Linked DNA regions of Drosophila melanogaster. The protein of the gene in region 2 interacts with the protein of the main gene of each other region in a pairwise test. Each region holds a gene or a part of one and is shown on either strand. Other genes may lie near its edges.

Region 1 (4,121 bases), on a different chromosome or scaffold from region 2:
CGACCGGCTTTTGTAAGCATCACAAACTACTCTCTGCGGGGGCAATGTATTTTTCTGTACAACAAAAACTGATCTATTCACCAGCCACCCAAACAAAGGTGGTGGTTGGTTCTACGTTTGTAAATCCATAACGAGAATATTCGGAGCTATTGGTAGGAGAGAACGATCCTCTTTATGTTCACACCTTGGCGGCCGTACGTTCAGAGTCCGAAAAGCGTTTCAGTCCCGCAGCCAGGGACTGAGATCTTTAGGAACTACTGCACAAAATCACATTATTAGGAAGATTTATGGGTTTACCTCGATTGGGATTTGTTTGTTACCTTTTACTAACTACGGACTGCCTGCAATAAATTTTGTTAATATTTTTGTAATGTGCATTTTATGATGATGATATGATGATATTAACAAAGTTCTATTCAACTCGACAAAAAATCAAAAGATAATCTGTTTTATTTTTGTATATCTATAGCACAGCATACACACTTAACTTTATGTATTTATACAATGTATTGTAATTGCGTCAATTGCATCTACCGATCTACCATTAGGCACATTTCATTTGGGGCTCGATCAGTCCAGCAGCGACCAATACTGGAATACAATGGGTGGGTGGTTTATTGGCCCTTGGCCGGAACGGACGAGGTCGATCGATTGATTTATTCAAATAAGTTAATGCATACACACACACTTACTATACATATTTTTTTAAGAAAACTGAAATAACCGCAGAAATATGCAAGTAACGGATAAATTTATTATATCAAACATATTTTATTTGTGAGCAAAATGCATATAGATTTAATAAAAAAGTACATGGATAGAACGTAATGATCCAAATGATTTCGCTTGCATTCGGTTGGGTGGTGATCACGATGATGGTCGATGATGGGTTGGGCCTTACACAATATATAATTATCTATTATATATATTCAATATAGTGGGCTAAACTGGCGTGCAGTCGTCTCTCTGAACGTGGGCATCATAGTTCTGCTCGTTGATGAAAGTATGCGTGCACTTGGAGCAGTGGAAGCGGCGATGGCGGTTGGTTCCGGGACTCTCGTGCTCCCGCAGATGGGCCTTCATGTTGTACATCTGGGAGAAGCGCTTGTTGCACACCGGGCAGGCGAAGGGCTTGTCCCCCGTGTGGGATCGCATGTGCCGCTCCAAGTGAGCCTTGGTCCGGGTCTTGAAGCCGCACACCTGGCACTCCAGCCGTTTGGTCTCGCTGTCGTGGATCATCTTGTGCTTGTACAGGGCCACCTTGTGAACGAATCGCTTGGAGCAGACATCGCACTGGTATGGCGTTTCGCCGGAGTGCCAGGCCATGTGGTGCTTCAGCCGGAACTTGCGGCTAAAGCGTTCCGGGCACACTGGGCAGGCGAACTGCTTCACGGGCTCGTGGTTCTGCAGGTGCCCTATGAACCCGGAGTACGATTGCAGCGTCTTGCCGCACTGATCACAGACGTAGCCGGGAAAGTGCTCGCGTTTCGTGTGGACATTGTAAGCGCGCCGGCTGCTGAACTTCTCCGGGCAGCTGGGGCATTGTATGTTGACCGTGTATTCGCCGGAGCTTTCGTTGTCCTGCTCCTGGTCCTCGCCATCGGATATTATGTACTCTATTGCGCCGTCCAGATGTTCGTCAAAGTCACTCATGGTATCTTCCTTAAAAAAGTCTTCCTCCTGGGCCTCTTGCTTGTCATGTGGCAACAGATCCTCCTCCTCTATCTCGTGGGCCACCTCCTCTATCTCGTGGGCCACCTCCTCTACCTCGTGGGCTTCCTCTTCGTTAATGATAATCTCGTTGTCGATATCTAGCTCTAAGTCTACGGAGTGGAACTCATCCTCCTCCTCTGATTGTTTGATAATGAAGGTGTGCTCCTCTTCGGCCACTTCCTCCACGATGCCGGCGGGACCGACCAGGGTGACGGTGGTGCCCACGCTCTCCAGTTCCTGCTCCTCCTCGTCCTGTTGCTGTGCCTCCTCAATATTCCCATCGAATTTGCTTATGGTGGTCTCTCGGTCGAGATCGTCCTCTTTGTAGGAGGTCTGCTTGTGGTCCTTGGACATGTAGGGACTGTGGATCAGTTCCAGGATCTCCCCTCGCAGCTTGCGCGCTATTTGTATGGACTTGTGGTATCTGGCGAGCTTCTCGCAGCACTTCTTGCAGATCGTCGACGATTCCTCCGTGAGGACGTAATTCGTGCCCCGGGTGCACTGCAGTACCAGTTCGCTGATCAGCACCGGCGGATGTCCGACGGTATCGGTGTGAATGTCCTTCGGTACGCGTACCGAGAATTGACAAATGCAGCAATTCATATTTGATTGAAATTTATTTACACTTTCGGGGCAGTGTGACCGTGCCCTGAAGAAGGCTCCGATTGCACAGCTATCGGTTATCGACGATGTGATCTGGTTCAATTTCCAAATTTGAACTTTGGCTGCTAACCAACAAAGCAGATCTGAAACTCAAAATCAAAAGCTGAAAATTTGTAACACCCAGCGAAAAAACAAATCGATATGTAGCCATGTATTTACTAATTTTTTGTTGTATTATAAATTGCCAACAGGGCAGTTAGGAAAAATAAAACAAGCTTTCAAACGCCTTCACTGATACGCGTTCAGATTCTTTTTGGGCAAGATGATGTTGTAATGCTGGAATTTGGTCCAAGACAGCAGTATGTCCTTCGTCCTGCCGTGCGGCGCCTCCCCAAAAGTCTGCAGGCAGTCTCTTTAGTAATCAGGTTGATCGTAGCCAACTTCATCCACTTACCTTGCAGCACCCGTAAATTTTCATTACTTTCTTGTCCTCCTTGTTGCTGATGAACCCTCCACCCAGGCATTTGGCGCAAATTCCAATTTTGTCCATCTCCTTTTGGATTTCCTCAAAGATTTCCTCTGGCGACAGAACGATTAGAACACGTATTAGCTATACTGATTATTAGAACTAACCGTGGTCCTTGGAGGCGGATCCTCTTACAATGGTCCTGCCGAACCTAGTTAAACCGTGCATGTGAATCATCATCAAAAGGTACTTGTTCTTGCCTTTAGAAAGCTGAACTCTAGGAACATTTATCAAAAGGGCGTTTACGCGCGAAGAACTTTGCCTTCGAAGGGGCTTCAACAATTGTGAAACAGGTGCCAAAAGATTCAAGGTTTTCATTTTGGAAAAATTTTAGGAAAACGCACTGGAATTTAGATGAAATATTCCGAAAAGAAACTGGTATGAACGGTAGCAAGGCTCCAGCTAGACTGATTTTGTCAGAAGCCTTCCGGTCGTATGCTAAATTCAAGACTGACACGAAAATCGGAGCACATGTGATCATTCAAAAAGTACTAAGCCCTTGTATCTTGTGAAAGAAATTTTTGTATGAACTAAACTATAAATGCAAAATTACTCTTCTTTCTACTCTCTCCAGAAATGGAAATATCAACCATATTCCGCCAATTACAATCGCCTGTTCGATTACCCCTTAATAATATTGAAAGAGCGCTACTTTTATATTCTATTTTCTTTTTATTAGTACTGAATTTCCATTTTCGAAATTTATGCAACTTTATTGTTTAACGGTTATCTTAAAGTCCTTATAAGTGGTCCACGCTTGAAGTATATTCCTTGTCCTTGTGTGATCAGCACCGCCGAAAGTCTAGGGAGACCCATCAAGAACCATTAGCCGGTGCTTCAAGGACCAAGGATCCTCTACTTACCCTGGAGGTGCCATAGATCTTAATTTTTTTATTTTCTGCCTCGTTGAGAATCCTTCCACCACCGAGGATTTTGGCACATATGCCCTCGGGTTCCAGCTCCTCCAAAATCGAGTCGAAGACCGCCACTGAAAGAAGGATTTGTAAGACTGCTCAAGGTTAAGCGTCCAGCAGTGGAAACTCACAGTGATTGTCAACATCGGCGCCACGGACAATAACTCTTCCATACTTCGTGAAGCCATGCGTATGAATATTCACCAACAAATAACGATTCTGACCCTTGGTTATCTTGACCCGGGGAACGCCTACCAAACTTATCAAATCGGTTGAGTAACATTTTTCTAAAACCAAGTATATTAGGGCTTGTAAATCTTAATATTGAATATTCCTAAGCCTTACGAAACGGAGAAACAATATGA
Region 2 (4,642 bases):
GTTGCAGGCCTAAAATGGCCGAATTCTGCATTTTTTTTCGCAGTATTTATTTGTCCTCTTCTCTTCGCTGCTGATTCAGCTGTCGTCGCTCAAATCGTTGACTTAAAGTGTTGATATTGAAAGCTGGCGGGCACATGGGGCAAGTGATTTGAACTCATGCTGTGCCGAATAATGCTCCTCTCATTTGGAAATTAAATAGCCGGGCTGATTGTTTTGAACCGCACCCAAATAACGGCCACGCTCATTGCTGCTCATTGTGATGCGAATGACGATGGCCAATGGTAAATGTCAATGATGAGCGGAGCATCCATGTCCATGTGTGTAGACAGAAAAATATTTAACGCGCGGTCGGGCAATAAAAGTCACCACGCACAATATGGCGCCCAGTCGCAATGCATATCCGCATACGCAACAGCATCCGCATCTGCATCCGAATCCGACGTTTGGCATTCAACTGATTTATGCGGCTGTCAACGCAGTGCTCCTATTCCTTGCCCCAAAAAGCCCCCCCAAAAAGGCATTCCGGCCAAAAGCGCATATGCGGGTCCTTAGTTGAGCCCCAGTTGATGTGGCTGATTGACAAACCGCGCCCGTTGAACAAATGAACCATTTGCCATGCGGTCCGTCGGTTGTGCAAATGGCAGTGCAACCTGTACGGTTAGCTTTATTGAAACTAATCAGAATTTCCTTTGATCTATGCTGGCTTTTAAAATTATAAGGTCTTTTATTACAAAATTTTAGAAATACGTTGTAAGTTGGCTTAACTATAACTTTTGCTATATATTATTAAAACTGATATCTTTCAAACTGATGGTAGTTTTGTACGGGCACTTTTCTTATATCTTATCTTCATTTCTGTCTGCATATCCATCAAAGTCGTTTGAGTGGAAACTGAGTGTAACTGACTTCCAGTTACACTCCTAGTGTCGTGCTCAGTGATTTTGGTATAGGATCGCGGAACGGAGTACAGGTATTTCAGCTGCTCCAAAGGAAGTCCGAGAACCCTGCCGATATATTCCTTGCCCACCATGCAGGAGCCACGAAGTGGAGAATCGCAACCACCGGTCTGCCGCTTTGAATGATGGTATTCAAAGACGATGCCCAAGTCGCAGTTCTTCGACTTGATGGTATTCCGCACATCAATTACACTAAATGTGAGTATGTTCTGAAAAACTCCCAACTCGATGGCCTCCTCTATGGCCGCATCAGTGACCAGGTAACAACCAAGGGAACAGTCCGAGCTCAGATCCCGCACATTTACGTGATAGACATTGTCTGCTCGCAGAAATATGGATATTACTATGTCTGTCAGGGAACGATCCCAAAGTGAGTCCAGCAGTTGCCTATAGAAGCTATCAAGTATTTTCAAACACTGCCCATGACAGAACTGACAGGTGCTCGAGGTCTTCTTGTCCAGCCTTTTGGCGCCATCCATTTTCTGAATGCACTCTTTGGCCAAATGCTGAACATTGGCATTGAGGCTATTCACCTGCGTGCGGATATCGCAGAGTTCCTGGCTGTGAAGGCCCTCCAAACGTCGATTCATCTCCTCCAATTGGTTGGATAAGTCGCATATAGCCGGGCAGTTGGAACATGGCGGTGGATTCTGCGAGCAATGGGGCTCCTCTGGTATATAGTAACAGCAAAATTGGTCTTCGCTCTTGCAGTCACAGGATTCGTGGGTATCGGAAGTGCAGATTGAATTTGGAAAAGTTTCTTCAATTTCCACTGTAGGCTGACCACGATTTGCTAAAGAATCTTTAGAGCTGTGAGACTTAATAAGGCGGTGACTCTTTGCTTGCTTCTTTGTGGATTTTCGAGAACTATTCGTGTGGTGTGCAGACTTCGACTTGGAGTGATCTGTGCTAACTATTTTGGAATTCTCAGATTGATCCTTCTTTAATTGTTTAATTCCTCCACCTGTGGGCACCACAATCAACGGTCTCATGCAAAATCGTGAAGCTGTTTGATTCCTGGACGACTCCTTCATCCGTTGAGGGGCTGGCTCTTTCGGCGTTTGAGCGGGACAAGATTTTGTAATATCCCTCTGTTGCTCTTGGCTATAGCAAACGTTGATGGAGGACAGGCTGGAATCATGGGACACCGTACATGAGGTGTCCCGGAAGTGCAGATCAAATGTGGGAATATCCTTGGCCGCGGGCTCTTCAAAGGACACACAGCTCTGACGCTGGTTCTCGTGTCCATCGCTGCGTGGGGACTTATTGGGTTCCGGTATGGAACAGCGGGTGATTTTCAGGCTTTTATCGGATGCACTTTTATTGCCCCGGCAGGAAGGTTCATCATTTGTGGCGCAATCAGTTGGCTTCGAGCAAGAAGGCTTACAGGTATCATTTTGCTGGTCGTGGCTTTGGTTGTGTTTATTTTTTTTCTCCTTTCCGGATTTATTGAATTTCGTACAGAATCCGCCAGCTGAGAGGCGGCTATGTGAGCCCTGCAATTTTAGAGTGGTCCTGGATTGAAATCTTCTATGCATGGAATTTTGCACACGGATGAGGGTTGCCATATACCGCTGATATACTCTATTGTATTCTAAATAAAAATTTTAATTTTATGTATTCATTATTAGCAAGCTTTACTCACCCGGATCTGAGCTAAACCTATATATTTTTTGTGAATTCCTCATAATTTGATCTTCTAAATTAAAGTCTGCATTTAGCGGCTGGTTCGAGTTCTGACTAAAATAATGAGCTCGTTTTTCCATCTTGCAACATTTTTATGCTTTGTACTTTTTGTATATAATTTTTGAGCCGAATATTAGAAATTAACACTAAAAGCTACGCCAACTAATAGGCATTTTTTTTACTAAAATATTTATATTCTATTTACTTACTGATTTATACATCAATAAATCGAAGCACAAACGGTTCTGGTTTGATATTCATAACTTTTATTATGGCTCACACACAATTGGCAAACGAAAGTTGGAAAATATTAAATCTTTGGCTAGGTATTATGGTTTAGATTTTACACCACTTTAGCTGAAATACATTTAATTTTATTGAATATAAATAACTTTTGTAAAATATGTGTTTGTTTTTCTCTCGTTTGCATAATATTTGTATTGTGGCAAAGTGTTTAAACTTATTTTTACATCTATATTTTATTCTGTATTTTTTAGCCCTGGAAATTTACACGTGGAATTGTTTTTATTGGCCTTTGACTATTAAAAAGAATTATGTGACATATAAAACTTTTAAATGCTGTCGTTAAGCTCCTTGATATTTATATTAATTGTTTGATGCGTTTAATGGTATTCCAAAACTTTATATATTTATGTAGTTTAGTTGAAAAGATTGTTAGTTATATCGAATGACGGAAGGCATTTGTTTGTATATACTAAACTAATGTACTTTTTTAGTTTTGGCAACTGTCTGATTATATCTTAAAGATTTGGCAACGAGATGCAAAGTTGCAGGGAAAACTTCCAATTCACGTTAAAATATATACTGGAATGTTGAGCAAAGCTTTAGTTTTGCATAATTTTGGGGAGCCAAGGCCAGCAAACCATTGATTATGTCTAACTGCTATGAGGATTTGTTTAAATACATATAAATATCCTATAAGTGATCCACTAATATCATTCAAATCGAAGCACTGAAAGCGTAATAGAAATTCTTACTAAACTTAACATTCTTTAAGGTTACATTAACGCACTGAACTTAAGAGTAAACCAAATTACTTAGACCGAGCAAATCAGACAGAAAAGTGTCGCCGTGTGGACACGCCTTATAGCTATACAAAGCACATGGGGTTTAAGGTCCTGGTTTCCGGTTCCGCTAGGTGCATCACCTGTCATCCTTCATCCGCCTGCAGATTCAGATTCATCCCAGGAACGGCCGCATCAGGACCATTAGTGTCATCACACCCAGTTCCACGCACATATTTCTGGTCTCCTTGACTCCCGAAGAGACTCGGGGCTCCAGCGAAAGTGTCTTGTACTTCTCCACCTTGGTGAAGTCACTGAATCCGGCCAGATTCCGTGATGCGGCCCGCACCAGGTAAACGGTATCTGGCTCTAAGTTCGTCAGAAGGAAGGTAGCCCCTAAAATTTATAGAATCCATGAGTTTACATATCGAATGTAGCAAGAGATAGCTTTTATCTATATTTTAAAGCTTAACTCACCCTCCTCGAAAGCATAATCCTTCCGCCTGGCATTGGTCCACTTGCCCGCATCCGTCTTGAACTCCATTTCGGTCATGTACTCGATGCGGAATCCATTGACCCCCATGGGACTGTCGGGAGGACCTCGTGGAGCACTCAGTACCACATCGAAGGTGTTTGAATTGAAGCCACGCAGCTGGAAGTTGGCCGGTGACGGAGGCTTCTCGCCCTGCTCCAGTCGCGTGGTCCTCTCGATGGTGCCCAGATCGTTCCTGGCGCGACACCTGTAGTTATCGAAGGCGCTGGTGTTCAGCACATGGATGGTCAGACTCGACCAGTAGCTGTCCGACTGGATCGTGTACAGTCTGTTGTTGCTGTGCAGCTTGTTGTGTTTGCGATACCATGTAAAATTCGCTGGAGGTTCCGCCAGTGCCTCGCACATAAGAGTCGCAGTTCCGTTTATGTAGGCGTACTTTAGACTAACAAATGGAGTCTTGGACCAAATGGGCTTGTCTGCAC
Region 3 (6,501 bases), on a different chromosome or scaffold from region 2:
ACAGCGTCCACATTCTAGCTGTTCGATGTAGCATATTTAACCGACTGACTTAAGACTACGTGGCTGAGTGTTTTTGTTCGGCGGTGGGAGTGTTGTGTCCCAACAGGTGGTTGCAATCAATAGCGGCAGGTTCGTAAGAAGTTTAAAGATTGGTCATCCGGCTGCGCAACTATTTTGCGGCACACTCCGGCTTGTACTTAAGACCCTTTGGCGAGTCTATTAAATTATCATTTTGGCCAGTTTTTACGGCCGACTTGTAAGGCACAAAATAACAAAAATGGGCGTCGCAAAGGGGGTCAAAATGCTAACGAAAATAACACTGTCTATAGGTAACGCTCGTTGTGGGTGTCTATTTGTTTCCCATCAGTAATTTATTGCACTCCTCTCAAAAATCATTTAATTTCCTTGTTTACTAATTCAACCAAAATCGTTTTGTTTACGCGTATTATTTAAACAGCTGCTTGCCATTTGTATCAGGTGGCAGCACCAGTCCCGAACAGGTGGCACCCCCATAAAAACAGGTCACGGGCGTGTCTAGATTTAATGAGCAGGGGTCTTAAGCAATGGTTACACGAAATATTCAGTTCACTAGCCATTCTCTTCTTACAAAATAATAAAATGACTAATTTGTGCTTCAATCAAAAAGAAAACATATAATATAAAATTCAAAAACATAAAATTAATTTATCAATATAATAAAATCCCCGAAGTCAGTATACTTTATACAGAACTCCCCTTTCAAGCAGAGAGTACAAATAAATGTATGTTTTAGTTAACCTTAGGAATATCCACCAGTTCGAAGCAAGCGCCTAGATTGTAGATTTTTTTGCGCGGTCTCGGCAGCAATCTTTTGACGGCCTCCATTAGGGAATAATTTCTGAGTAGCAGACGCATTTCACTTATGCATGTATATTTTTAATACAAATTATGCACACAGAACACTACACAACACAACACGTTTTCCACGCTGTTATCGAAACTTATGCAATGAAAAGCGATTACACACGGTTTACAGGCGACTTTCTCCTCCCTCGCTGGCATGTAAACAATTGTATCTATATATGTAGCATGTATGTATGTACAAGAGTGCTCTACCGACTTAAAGTTAATGGAAATAGGGTAACAGTCCGGGGTAGATGAGGATTAGTCCGTTTTGGAGCCCTTGGAACCGGGTGCCCCAAAGTAGGCCCTGTATATATAGAGTCCCAGGGCGATGTGCAATGCAACGACCGCTCCCACGGCGGATGCTATGTTCACTTTGACTTCGGAAATGTCGAGGAACTGGTCCAGAACGAAGCCCTTCAGCACAAAGAAGGTCAGCACGGGCAGGAAAACGATAAGCATGCAGTAGAAGAGCACTGTCTTGAAGGAGCTGTAGTCCTGCGAGTCCTGGGCATCCAAAATAAACAAGGGATTAGCTAGCCGGCAATCGGAGCCGTCATGTTACATACGTGCGACTGCTGGCGGGTTTGTTTCGGCGCAACTCCGTTGCCTCCGGCGGCTTTCTTGTTCTTGGTCGACATCTTTTCAGTTAAATAGAATGCAGCTTAATTGAAAAATCAGCAATTTCTCTCAATTTCTAGTTTTGCTTTGGTCTGCCATTCGGTTATCAGAAATATTTGACAAATCACAAATCACATGATAAAGTGGTAGTACCGTGCCAGCATTCAAAATATACCAGAAAATACTGCGACTAGTCGATTAATCGTTGGTATCGTTGCTATCGAAATATTTTCAACTAAATTCTCATTTTTTAATTCATTTTAATTGAGTAAAAAGTTAAAATTATATCAAAATAAAAGAGAAGTATTGAAGCTATTTCTTTAGGTATACAAAATGAAGTGTCATATTTGTTCAAGTAACATATTGTACGCTGTTTCGCGATTTTCGATAATTATAAATATAAATATATATAAATTATAAGTTTCCATGACTTCCAATGAGATTCATAAGATCTGCACTATTTTTGCAACCACAGCTGTCTTTTCGCAACTTCTTCGGTATTTTTCTCCAGGGTCGCACGCCTTATTGCGACACCAGCAGTGTGGTCACACTGGAGCGAAAGGAAAACAAAAGAGCAATCGTGAATCGAAAGGCGCACGCGGCAAAATGTAAAACTTGCTTATTGGTTTATTTTTAACAGTTGCCGTCACCGCATTTACAGTCGCATTTCGGCCGAATGCTCGCGCGCCCCGCTTGCGTGTGTTAATTGAATTATTTCATCCATTTTAGCAACTGCTGCGTATTTTCGGCGCTTATTAAGCCGACAGAGCCATCAAAATCCATACTGCATACAAATACGATTTCAATTAGGGGAAAAATACGCGCCTGCAGTTCGCCGCACGATTTCGTACAGTACAGTACGGACGCAGAGGAGCGTTTTTTCCGAATTTACTGTACTTGCTTTTCGGTTTTTTTGGGGAAATTCCACTGCAGCTGGCGCGCGATGGTTTTGACGAACTTCGAGTGCTGGGCACATGGTGATCCGTCGTCGTCGGCGGCCGCCACTTTCGAAACTGGAGCGCTGCGTCCTTCGATGGATCCGTTCAATCCACGCGCCGTCACCTTCATGACCGACGCCAACAACAACAACAACAACAATGATGGCAATAACCTCGCGGCACAACCGATGCCGGTCGTCCTGCCTCCGGAAGTCCTGCGCTGCAAGAAGCGCCTGAATCCCGGTCACAATCCTGTCGGGGATTTGGACACGGACCAACCGGTGTACACCAAGAGATGTCGCTACGACGAGTCTGACTTGGCCGCCCAGTACTGCAATGGTGAGTATCGCTGCTCAAAAATGCAAGCTTAGTTATTTAATTATTAAATTGTTTAAGGCAGTTTTATATTAGGCTTACTTAGCAATTGCACATGCAATAATTCCAATAAATAAATTTGTTGTCGAGCAGCCTTTAAATATTAAATATCCTCATTAGTTTCAGAAAACACTCAGAAATATATTATTATGTTATACTCAATCCTTTAAGAGTAATGGTTGCATTTTTTAGTGTCTCAAACCATTTTGAACTTAAATTTAACACTTGCAATGAAATTCAAATTATACTTGAACCAAATATGATATTAATTTAACTTTAAATGAGTATTGAAGGCATTTTTGTTGGTATGAATTTAAAAACCGGAACACACCAGACGACTTAAGCTGTAATTTTGTTTATAATCTCTCGACCTTGGCTCTTATGCCCGCGCATTTAATTGGTGTTGCGTGAAAGTGTCGTAAAACTTGTAAATTTACACAATTATCTCTGACCTTGCGGCCCCATTTCTTCTCCCATTGGCTCTCCCAGCGACCTGTGTTATCACTGTTCAGTTATTCGGTGGGATCCGGACTATCTGTGGCATACAGAGGGTACCGGACTCGAAACGATAGCACTTGACAGCCGCTTAAATTTAGCAAAGAAAAACCGGCTTGACTCAGTCTTTATAGACATACATATGCATATATGTATATCGGTGTGTTTGGCCTACTAAACAAAACACACAAGTAGTGGGGATTAACTGGAGGTACTGCGGAGATGACTATGTACACTGGGTCAACAGAGTGTTACGATTCTTCTTACACCGCCAGTTTAATCAATCTGCATTCGCAAAAGTGTTCCAACAATAGAAGAAAACAAAGGGGGAAGGCAGTGTGGGCGTAAATATATACAGCCGGTAAAAGAAATGTGTATATCTGCGGGAGTGAATCAATAATCTATACTCTTTCTGAGGGTATAAACGCTTCTTAAATGTTTTTAAGTGATTTCAATGATATGTACGAATATTTCATTTAGTTTTGTCCACGATTTACTTAAATATATATCTCAATTTTTTTGATCTATATTAATATTTTTAAAAGGGGTACAAAATAATAGAAATACAATTTTAAATGTTTTCTATTGGAATAAATATACATATGTATTTTTGCAACTATGACTACACTTAATTAGTTGTTGTTAATCTGTGCACTCCGTTTTGCCTTCGTTACCTTATAGTTTCCGATTGCGTTGATAAGGTTATCAGCACAAACAAAAAGCAGAAAAAAAGAAACTAACTCGTAGATAAGAAATGACAACACACTGCTCTGCTCCGAATTGGTTATAAATAAACGATCGGTAATTGGGCCAAGCATCGATAGTGTCAACGTGTTGCGTTGCATTGCCGTTGCACTGAGAAAAATCGGAATAGACTTCAGTTTGTACATACAATTATAATAAATTGTAAATTATTTTATATAAGTTAATGTAACTTAATGATCGGTTTATTGCCTTGCAGATTTCTTTTCCTTGCCTGCCACACAAATAATTGGAACGCAGGCCTCTTTGATGGATTACGAGATGCAGGCCACCGGCGGCATGATGATGATGGAATCGGAGACGAGTTTTCCAGCGCAGCAGCAGCAACATCAAGAGCAACAGCAACATCCACAGCAGCCACATCAATATCAGCGCATTCATCAGCATTATCAAGGTCATTTGCATCGCGCCAACCGTGATGTGAGTCGTTGCATGATGTCGCACATGATTTAGGGGCCCTCGTTCACACAAAACTCAAAATGTACATATATAACCCAAAACATGTACTGTAGCTGAGAAAAGCGCACAAGAAACACATGCAACAGTTCACCGAGCGACGCGTCTCTCTTTATTTGCTAAACAGCCGACAATGTATCGAAAAATGTTCGCATATCACTCAGAAAGCAAATTAACGCAAAGGAGCAATTGAATTGAAAATATCCGCAATGCACATACCTACCATATACCAAAAATTCAAATTTTGTAAAAAAAAAAAACAATCAGCTAACGACTCAGCCAATAAGTATTCTGTATAAATTGTTAAACTCACGAACTATTGTACAAACAACAGCTAAGTCGAACATCGAACATAAACTGTACTTAACTACCTAAAGAATTGAAATACGTAATTAATTTCAAAAAGTAATAGTTAGACCTGCGAAACATTGCAATCACAAAAAAGCAAGCAATATATGTTAAGTGAAATGTTCAATCAGCCTGGAGCGATTGCTGGGAGCCTTCACAAAGTGAATTTAATATGTGAAGTTGGCTGATACGCAACCATAGTCGTAAATTTATTTCTAAGGTATACTTTACCATTAGTTCAAATCGTTATCAACATATGCTTTAGGTATATTGATGACTTAGTAGCTTAAGACCGCGGTGAGTGCTTATATCTTTTGTATCAATTTTTACACTCACATATATTTGCAATAAACTTAACAGCTACCACCGATCTTTATATAAATTCTGTTATACTTAAATTTTTTTTATATACTTTATTTTTTCTATTTTATTCGAAGTTTAAGTTAATGAAGTCAGCCAACTTTTAAAGAGCACTTTGTGGAAGATCCAAACAGCAAACGCGAAAGGCCAAGTTAGTGACCCAAATTGATAGACAAATCTCCAATCTGCTCGTTTACAGAATCCGCAGAGCAACGAGTGCCGTCCCCGCAGCAAAAGTCAAGAAAATCTAATAATTCTATTGGGAAAATCAAATTAAAGTCCATAGGCAGCGAAGCCGAAGCGGACTTGTATATAGCCACACACGGCGGCAGTCTGCACCACTTTTGTGGGCTCGGCGGATCGGAGCTAGAGGAGTCTGATATATGATAAAGTAACTCCGAGCAAGAATTGTACATCCTAGCCTAAGTTGTAATATAAGCTGTCGCAAACTAAAGGTGCTTACCAATAGTATTTGAGTTCGAATAAACCAAAAGCTATCGTGCGAAACTCACATCAATAATCGAAAGTATTTCCATGTGCTGAAGAACTTTAAGATCACAATTCTTCAAGATGAAATGAACCAATAGTTTTCCTTTCCAATAAATGCCTTACTGTATTTTAAAAGGTAAAATGTTACAGTGGTTTGTGTTGCTATTCACTAGATAAATGCAGTGTTAAATGCGATTGGATTTCATTACTTAGCAATACTAGATGCGGTTGTTCGATCCACGTCTTAGATCTGCAGAGTCTGCTGCTCCGGCTGAACATTAATGTAGTTATCCTGCACGTCCTTGATCATGAAGTCCACCAGGTTGGACAGGTCGTACTTGTGCTGCCAGTGCCAGTCGCGCCGCGCATCGGAGTCATCGAATACCTGCGGCCAGGCGTCTGCGATCAACTGGCGGCTATCTGGCTTGTAGGTCACGTGCAGATTGGGCACGTGCTTGCCCAGCTGGGCGAACAGCTCCTCGGGAGTGAAGGACATGGCGGTCACGTTGTAGACGCGGCGCTTCAGCTGTTCGTTGGGAGCACGCATGAACTCGAGGAGAGCCCTAGTTAGATGGGTCATTAGTAACAAAGAAATAGTTTGTTACAATGCACTTATTACTCACCGCAAACAATCTTCAATGTACATCATGGGCAGTCTTGTGTCAGGACGCAGGTAGCAGGTGTACTTTCCATTGCGCAGCGCTTCATGGAACACGGCCACAGCGTAATCTAAAAGTTGAAACAAATAACAAATGTGAAATGTTAAAGCAGGACT

The links.
Region 1: the proteins of CG15631 (region 2) and ZIPIC interact in a two-hybrid assay, tested with the Drosophila melanogaster proteins (one large-scale study listed by BioGRID).
Region 3: the proteins of CG15631 (region 2) and CG32428 interact in a two-hybrid assay, tested with the Drosophila melanogaster proteins (one large-scale study listed by BioGRID).

Annotation. Positions count from the first base shown.
Region 1 is NT_033777.3:30,034,486-30,038,606, forward strand, and holds ZIPIC (Zinc-finger protein interacting with CP190), read right to left. Parts: upstream 2,386-4,121; 5' UTR 2,317-2,385; coding exon 943-2,316; 3' UTR 755-942; downstream 1-754. Other genes in the region: ocn (ocnus), read right to left, coding at 2,605-2,715, 2,771-2,895, 2,950-3,160; janB (janus B), read right to left, coding at 3,555-3,644, 3,706-3,830, 3,888-4,043, 4,102-4,121. UniProt on the Drosophila melanogaster protein: Insulator DNA-binding protein. Recruits Cp190 and cooperatively binds to chromatin promoter regions to exert transcriptional regulator and chromatin insulator functions.
Region 2 is NT_033779.5:4,731,705-4,736,346, forward strand, and holds CG15631 (uncharacterized protein), read right to left. Parts: upstream 2,755-4,642; 5' UTR 2,723-2,754; coding exon 2,602-2,722; intron 2,551-2,601; coding exon 803-2,550; 3' UTR 709-802; downstream 1-708. Other genes in the region: fipi (factor of interpulse interval), read right to left, coding at 3,843-4,063, 4,145-4,636.
Region 3 is NT_037436.4:20,468,920-20,475,420, reverse strand, and holds CG32428 (uncharacterized protein), read left to right. Parts: upstream 1-2,048; 5' UTR 2,049-2,446; coding exon 2,447-2,780; intron 2,781-4,272; coding exon 4,273-4,467; coding exon of another isoform or gene 4,468-4,526; exon of another isoform or gene 4,527-5,398; intron 5,399-5,436; coding exon 5,437-5,624; 3' UTR 5,625-5,747; downstream 5,748-6,501. Other genes in the region: isoQC (iso glutaminyl cyclase), read right to left, coding at 778-894; CG5969 (uncharacterized protein), read right to left, coding at 1,144-1,389, 1,452-1,523; Tdh (L-threonine dehydrogenase), read right to left, coding at 5,971-6,289, 6,350-6,455.